2 linked regions of the Caenorhabditis elegans genome follow. The protein of the gene in region 1 interacts with the protein of each later gene in a biochemical or structural test. Each region holds a gene or a part of one and is shown on either strand. Other genes may lie near its edges.

Region 1 (5,042 bases):
CTCAAGTGGAAGGAGCTGGAGACGATGAGCGTGAGAGATGAGCATAGTGGAAAAGATAGATGGAAAAACAAGAAGAACGTTGATGGTGGAAGAAGGCAATAGTAAAAACAGAAAAGGAAGACAAAGTGAATAACAAAAAGATCCGGGGACCCTCTGCTCACCAATGAATCACTGTCCAGAGCTGCGGCCATCTTTTTACATATCGAAGAGGTTCCAAAGTCGAGAGGTTGAATGTTTCCAAAGTTTCCGGTTAATGTCCACCATGTTCTGCAATTTTAGAAATTTCTTAATTTTTGGAAAAACTCAAAAACAAATTTTTTATGTTTTACTACTAATTTTTAAAAAAAAATCCAAAATGCTCGTTTTCACTATATTTCGAATTTTTTTGAATTCTTAAAAAAATAGTTGAGAGTTTTGGCCATTTTTCTTATTTTTAGAAGAAAATAATATGTTTTCTGTGTTTATAGGCACTCTATGTAATAATGACTATAACTTTATGTGTCGATTTACGCAGCTCGTGAAGTCCACGACGAGGAGGGTTTTACTGCTGTTTCGAAAAAACTTTTGAATTCAAATTTTCGAGCCGTTTCTGATTTATAGCGTTTTCGGGAAAAGGATCTAAATTTACTTCAACTATGGAGATTTTTTGTTATACCTCACTCGCCACGCGGATAACGAATTACTGTAGCTTGAGTTGAAAAAAAGTGAATTTTAATCTAAATAAGAATTTTAAAAAAACCTGACGATTGACAGAAGTGACAGTAATTACTTATCCGCGGGGCGAGACCTTTGCTACGAAAATTGTCATTTGAAGTTGGAAAGCGAGAAAATTAACAATTTGAATGATAAATACAAAAAGAACTTGCGAAAATAGTCAAAAACTAAGAATATTATCCAAAAACTGTAAAATTGTCCTAGTTGCGGATTACACGAACTGCGTAAATCGACACATGGCTTTTTTTCGGGCTAGTTTTTTTTAATTCGTTCCAAAGTAGAAATTATTTCAAAATTGCTCCATTTTTCACTAATTTTTATGAAAAAAGGCTATAAATTAGTTTACTTTTTAATTTAAAAAATTGGATTTAACTACAATTTTTTGGTGCTATTCTGAACAGAATTATGAATTTTTACGATTTATGGAACTTTAACAAAATAATTTTAGATCCCAAATTTTAATTTTTCAACCAATTTTTTTAAATCCACAAATAAAATCCAAAAAACTCACTGGCTTTCATTCATAACTTCCTCTTGAGTACGTATCTGCACAGGTGCAATATCCGCTGTCGTCACCTCGTGGTCCTTCAGGCATGCCGCAATTTTTTCGTCAAAGTTGCCGACAAGGTCCTGAAAATAAAAGAATGTTGAAAAGAGTGTGACAATGCAAGAAGTCCAACCTCAAGGGATCCAGAGAACTCGTCATGAAGACGTTCCTCGTCGCTGTTGCTGTTGCAGTGATGTTTCTCGTCTGATGAATGGCTGAAAGTTACAAGTTTTTTTAATTTTTATCCTTTCATCTATTCATATTATGGATACGCAGAATAGAAAACAATTTTTGAAAGTGAAGTGCAAGCGCGCTCCACCGACAAATCAATATGTCCCGCCCCAAAACGTCGGGTCTCGTTAGGAAATTCAAACGTTTTAAATTATTTTTTAACCGATTTCATCCGTATTCAATGAATTTTTCGACATTGTGTTGCGTTTTTGATTGTTTTTCATGATTCTTATGTCAAAATGATATTTATTAATTCATATGAAGTTGAGAAGTGATAACATATTTTCTATTAAGTGTGAATTATAATTCCATCAATTTCGATATAAAAATATCCTAAACAAGAACATAAAACATAACAAAAAGTCGAAAAATCTAGTTTTACCACTAAATACCTAACGAGACCCAAAGTTTAGAGGCGGGGCACTTAGAGACTTGGCAGCGGAGCGCGCTTACATCTCGATTTCAAAAAGCGTATTTTTCTATATTTTTTCTGCGTCCCCATAATATGTATTTCTTCAGCTTCACCCCATCCTCTTTAGGACCCCCAAATAGTATGAAGATCCGATAATTAGATAATGTGTATCTTTTGGATGTGTATTGGGGTATGTGTGTGTGTGTGTGTGTGTGTGTGGATGGCCGTGAGGGGGTGAGAAGATGAGCTTTTAAGTACCCTCTCCTCTGCTGCTGCTGCTCTACAACACTTGGCTCGTTCAATTGGATTGGGGCCCAGTTTTATTGGCATGTTCGAAATAGAAAAAAGATATAACGAGGCCATCGAACGTATGTCAGAAACACTTAGGGAAGCACTAAAAGAAAATTTCTGCGAATTTTTCTTGTTCTCTAGGAATTCGAAGGACCATAAAGAAGTGCACTGATGTTCTTTCTAGGAATTTACAAAAAAATCTAGTGGGAAGTTATAGTTTTGCGATTTTTTTTTCAATAAATGCCCTCTTAATTTGAATTTTTCAGCTCGATAATAAGCTTTTTTTTCAAAAAAAACCTCTACAACCTATTTATAAATAAGGTGGTTTCCAAATATATATTAAAAAAGTGAATTTAAAATTTTTTAATAGGGATATTCATATTGATACAACATTACAGTATTTCTTAAAGGCCCAGAGCTTAAAAAATTGCTACAGTAACCTAAATATCTGATGAAAAATACTGTGAACCTCTAAAACGGCCATGAGTCGATTTACGCAGCTCGTGTACTCCACGAGGAGAAGTGTGCAATTATATTTTTGACTAAAAATCTGGAATTGAAACTATTTTTTTTAGTTTTCTATATTTTTATCACGTAATTTTTTTTCACCTAAAAACACTGTTTTAAACTTCGGATTTAAAAAAATTAATTGGTATGGTCCGAAATCCTGCTTTCTTGCTAAAAACTGTTAAATCCTTTGCAAAAAAATGTACGCTTTTCCTCGCGGAGTACACGAACTGCGTAAATCTACACATGACCGGAGGATCACAAGCCTTCACGATCATAATTCCAACTTGTGAGGGAGTTTGGAATCTCTAGTATCCAGCAAAATTCAAGATTTTTTTTGCACTCTCCCACCAACAGCTTCAAAAAAAAAACTCACTTGCTCAAATTCTTATTACTATCGATATCATCATCATCACACGAGGCGAGCGGAATGTCCGGTACTCGCAGATCTGCAGCCTCCATTGCCACCTCTCCAAAACGCATCGGTACTTTTAAAGGTTTTGGTGAAGGAAAAACGGATGACACACAAAAGTGTGGAAGAGAAAAGAAGAATGGAAACGACGACGACTTTTTGGGATTGAAATTGGGAGAAAGAAGGAGGAAAAAGGCAAACTGACGACGTTGGAGAGATGCAGAGACAAAGAGAGAGAGATGCTAGAGGGCTCCAGCCGCCAAACTAAATGAATGCTCTATGCCTTTGCTCCAAATGTCGTCGTTGTTTGGGAGAAGAAGAAGTAGAAACAGAGCTGCTGCTGCTCTCTTCTGCAGTAGTCACTATGCGCGCAAAGGCAACTAAAGACGAAAAAGAGACGGATAGAGACGCAGAGACATCAACGGAAAACCGCATATGTATTGGATCCCTCCGGTTGTCTTTCTCTGACCGACTCTCTCAATGAGAGTGAATGAGAGAGAGAGAGAATTAGAGAAAGAGATACAACAAAATGAGTGTACATTTCTTTTGCGGGGCGGGGAGTTTTGGTGGGGTGGAATATAGAGAAAAAGAAAAAAGACCCAACACAGAAATACGAAACCCCTTCTCTCAGCAGCGGCGCCATTCTTTTCAGGACTAAGAAGACTAAGAGAGAGAGAGAGAATGTGAAACAAGTATCCAATTTTTTTCGCCTCACACACACCCACAGATGAGCCGAGAATCGGAGTGATTGATGTGCAAGAATGAAGGAAAAGTGCGGTGACATATTATTGTGTCCACTCCTCTCCGATCTAATCGGTTCGCCGCAAAAATAGATGAATTATTTGTTACGAAATCATTTTTCGTCTAGTTAATATAGGAATGGGGGATCGAAGTGAGATTGAGTTTTGGGTCCAACTTCAGAAGACGTTTCCAATGATTTATATCAGGGTTGGGCGGCAAACGATTTTTTTCAGCCAAATCGGCAAATGTCGAATTTGCCGGAAAAACGGCAACTGCCAAAAATGTTCGGCAAATTGTAGTTTTGCAAATTTTTTCTGAAACTTCAGAATTTCAATTTTAATCCGCAAATTTGTACGCATCCTATGAATGTTCCTAAATTTATTTTGAAAAGGGAGCAAATCCTATGAAAATATCTAGAAAAGACGGGAAAAAATTTCAAAAAGGCACAGTTTTAAGCGTTTCCGGCTTATAAAAAATCCCTATAAAAATTTCCGGCAAACCGGCTTTTCGCCGAATTTTTCGACAAAAAAAATTGCCGAACGGCAATTGTCGCTCTTGATTAATACAACTTTTAATTTAAACGAGGAAATTTTTTAAAAAAATTTTAAATAAAAAGCAGTTTCCAGAAGAGTAAGTGTAAAAGTGACAGAACTTTGGCTTACGCTTACATATTTTGGAAATGTGGAAACCCGAAACCTATTCGTGATACGTTCATTGACAATTAAATAGGTGTGGTTCATTAGAAAAGTAACATGATCAGAAAAAATACGATTATCTCTCCAAAGTCATTAAAAAACTGAGTTTTCGATGTCTAACAAGAAACATACAAATTTGAAGAAAAATGTTGCATCTGGGTCTAAAACTAATTTTATTAGCCCAATTATCTCAAGACATGCGCCCGAAAAAGTTTGACCCCTTGACAAAATTGAAAGTTTGTTTCAGTTTTATGATCGAAATAACTATAAGAAAATGATACGAGAACAGAAAACAGTTGAAAGCTTGCAAATTGCCGAAAAAATACGAGTTTTTTTCTCCAGAAGAATTTGGCCGAGAAAAAGAAGGCGAAACTTTTTTGTTTACGACATAACAATGAGTGATTTATGCCCTTTTTCTGGATGAAAGAAGTTGGTTGGACTATGCAGTCAACGATTATTAGACCTCAAAGGGCTCTTTTTTCTTTGGTTTTC
Region 2 (3,466 bases), on another chromosome or scaffold:
TGAAGAAAAACCGCAAGAACGAGCGCCCCGTATGTAAATTCCGCTTTAAAACTTTGAGAATGAAAAATTAATTTAATTTAATTTGAAATTTTGAACTAAAAAATCATGCTCCGCAAACACCGCGACGCACAATTGCAGATACTACTGTAGTTGGTACGAGACCCGAGACCCGAAGAACTCGGGGAATGTCCAATTGGGGAGACCCGAAGAACTCGGGGGATGTCCAATTGGGGGGATTACCAACTCGGGGGATTGGCCCCGCCCACAGAACCGTGGCTTGCAATACGCCCATTTCTGCAACTGCCGCACGATTTTAAAACTGTATTTTTCTCAATAGAGCGAGAAATAACAAGAAAAAATAATTTTAAAACCGTGCGGAGGTTGCAGAAATGGGCGTATTGTAAGGCACGGTTCTGTGGGCGTGGCCAATCCCCCGAGTTGGGAATCCACCCAGTTGGACATCCTCCGAGTTCCTTCGGGTCTCGAAATTTTGAACTAAAAAATCATGCTCCGCAAACACCGCGACGCACAATTGCAGATACTACTGTAGTTGGTACATTTTGAAATTAATTCGATTAAATTTTTTTTTCGAAAATTGCTTAAATTTACTTTTACCAGTTTCATTTTCTTTGTTTTTTATTTACTTTAACTGAAAAATAACTAAATAGCATTGTTAGACGTGAAATTATGTGATAAAATCAATGTCCACGGCGCCGGAAACCAGTTTGTCACCCAATGAAGGCATAGAACAACACAACAGAAGAGATGAGCACTCGTAACAGTTTTACTACACTAAATATATTCACACAAACACAAAAATGTGATAAAAAATCGTACAGAAAATGTAAAGAAAATAAAATAAGCGGGTTGAACACGATAAGAGAATTTTTGTTGTGCAAACTGAGCTCTTGAAACGAACGAAAGACTGTGGTATGGACATCTTCTATTTACAATCGGCCTAATTTCTAATATTCGTACTCTCCAAAATCGTCGTCGTGAACTGAATCATCTCTGTAAATATTAACTGTAATAGGATCTTGGAAAAATTATTTATTTATTTAATAAAATATATAACTTTTTGGTAACATTTCGGCAACTGAAAGGCTGACAAGATCGGAGGAGCAATTAAAGCGGGGTTAGTGGAAGGGGCAATTATGGTTTCAGGAAATCATGCACAGGGTCCCAATGTGGGCGGCGAGAATGGAACAATCAATGGACGGGGAATCGAATTAGAAAAAAAGATTCTTAAAGGACAACACAACACCTACTGCTTGGGCCGTGACGGCTGAGAAGACTGGAATACTGACGAGGAGGACATTAGGTTCTGAATGTACTGGCCGAGCACTTGATTTTCCGATCTCAACTTCAAACTCTCTTCCTTGACAGATTCGACGCGTTGTGAGAGATCTAAAATTTAAAAAATCAATATAGAAAAAGTGAAATTTCTGTGAATTACCATCCAAAGTATTCTGAAGTTCCAGCACTTGTGTGATCATCCGGGCTTTCTCTTCTGGATCCTCTGGTGGTTCCTCCTTCGGAAGTGGCTGGGCAGCTCTCGGAGTTTTCCCACCGCTAATTATAGTTACAGTGTCGTCTGGAAAATTAAACAATATTTTAAAAAAAGTTTATTTTCAGGAAATTCAATTTCAGAACACTTACCATCATCAGCGAGAGGAATATCATCTTGCTCGGTTTTCTGGCTCATCGTAATACTCGTTGTAACAGAAGTAGGGCTTAGAAGACGTACTGCGGAGCCAGCGGCTAGTGGACAATCGAAAAATCAATAAACGAGAGATGTGCGGCGAGCGTGAGAGACGCAGAGAATTGTCTATCGCCAACTTGGCAATGCAAATGCGCTCCGATGTATTCTTCGTGTATTTTGCCACTTTACATCCATTTTTCTTGCTTTTTCATCTGTTTTTCACGATTTCAATGAAAATTCATCGCAATTTTGCTAATTTTTACATTGAAAATAAGAAAATTTCATTGGGAAAGTAGGAAAAATTAATAAAATTAGTGTAAAATCGATTAAAAACTCGCTTTATCGATTTTGAAAGAATTCATCGAAGATTTTTGAGTTTTCACGAATCTATCTTAATTTTCAGTGTTCTTATTATACCTTATGTCTATTTATCTGCAGTACATACTGAATTTTCCATTTAAACGCCATTTTCTTTGATTTTTTCCCGCCGTTCCCCTAGTTTCGAAATTTCTATTATTTTTTTCCAGTCATGATCAGCGACGTTCAACTCGGAATTGCTGCCAACATTCTTGGAATCGCGATGCTCATGCTCGTCGTCCTCTTCCACTATCTCAACGCCAACCAGAAGAACAAGTAATTGTTCGGGAAAAGAGTTCGTTTTATTTCCCAATTCTCCATGATTTACGTAGTTTTTTTTTCAGATTTCTACTCTCCAAATGTGATATCTACCAAAAAAAATTCGTCTCTACCCTAATTTATTCTTGTTGGATGGGTTAATCAGTTGAAAGTTTTAATTTAATAAATTATATTTAATTTAAATTTTTATTCGTATTAATTTTTCGATTTATTGGTGTTTGTCTCACCTCGAATACTTATTTTCAGAAAAAAAAACTTTAAATTAAAATTTTAAAAAAAGTCCATCTCAGCACATCGATCCCCGGCAGAGATCGTATATGTCATGAGTTCACAGCCGCGAGGCAGCGGAACACAGCCAGGTCCATCCCAGTCACCGATTTCGCAGCGAAACTTTCGATACGAGCCGGCGAGAAGTGGTTACACGTCTCCGGGACAGTATTCCACGTATTCTACAAGGTTTGTGTGGGGAATTCCCTGAAAATTACACAAAAAGTGTTGAAATATGATGAAAATAAAGTTTTTTCGAAAAATTTTCCGACATTTTTGAATTTTTTCAAAAGTTTGGGTCATGACCTACTTTTTAAGGAGGTCACGTTAAAAACTAGGTCATGACCTACTTTTTAAGGAGGTCACGTTAAAAACTAGGTCCTGACCTACTTTTTAAGGAGGTCACGTTAAAAACTAGGTCATGACCTACTTTTTAAGGAGGTCACGTTAAAAACTAGGTCATGACCTACTTTTTAAGGAGGTCACGTTAAAAACTAGGTCATGACCTACTTTTTGAGGAGGTCACGTTAAAAACTAGGTCCTGACCTACTTTTTAAGGAGGTCACGTTAAAAACTAGGTCATGACCTACTTTTTGAGGAGGTCACGTTAAAAACTAGGTCCTGACCTACTTTTTAAGGAGGTCACGTTAAAAACTAGGTCATGACCTACTTTTTAAGGAGGTCACGTTAAAAACTAGGTCATGACCTACTTTTTAAGGAGGTCACGTTAAAAACTAGGTCATGACCTACTTTTTAAGGAGGTCACGTTAAAAACTAGGTCCTGACCTACTTTTTAAGGAGGTCACGTTAAAAACTAGGTCATGACCTACTTTTTGAGGAGGTCACGTTAAAAACTAGGTC

What was found.
Region 2: the proteins of unc-76 (region 1) and unc-69 form a complex in vitro, tested with the Caenorhabditis elegans proteins (one study listed by BioGRID).

The regions. Positions count from the first base shown.
Region 1 is NC_003283.11:15,070,006-15,075,047, reverse strand, and holds the start of unc-76 (UNC-76), read right to left. Parts: upstream 3,289-5,042; 5' UTR 3,165-3,288; coding exon 3,079-3,164; intron 1,477-3,078; coding exon 1,395-1,476; intron 1,345-1,394; coding exon 1,226-1,344; intron 268-1,225; coding exon 162-267; intron 1-161.
Region 2 is NC_003281.10:10,317,325-10,320,790, reverse strand, and holds unc-69 (Short coiled-coil protein homolog), read right to left. Parts: upstream 1,706-3,466; coding exon 1,660-1,705; intron 1,595-1,659; coding exon 1,457-1,594; intron 1,408-1,456; coding exon 1,269-1,407; coding exon of another isoform or gene 1,265-1,268; exon of another isoform or gene 1,012-1,264; coding exon of another isoform or gene 1,001-1,011; coding exon 793-1,000; downstream 1-792. Other genes in the region: ostf-4 (Dolichyl-diphosphooligosaccharide--protein glycosyltransferase subunit 4), read left to right, coding at 2,232-2,339; Protein unc-50, read left to right, coding at 2,661-2,794.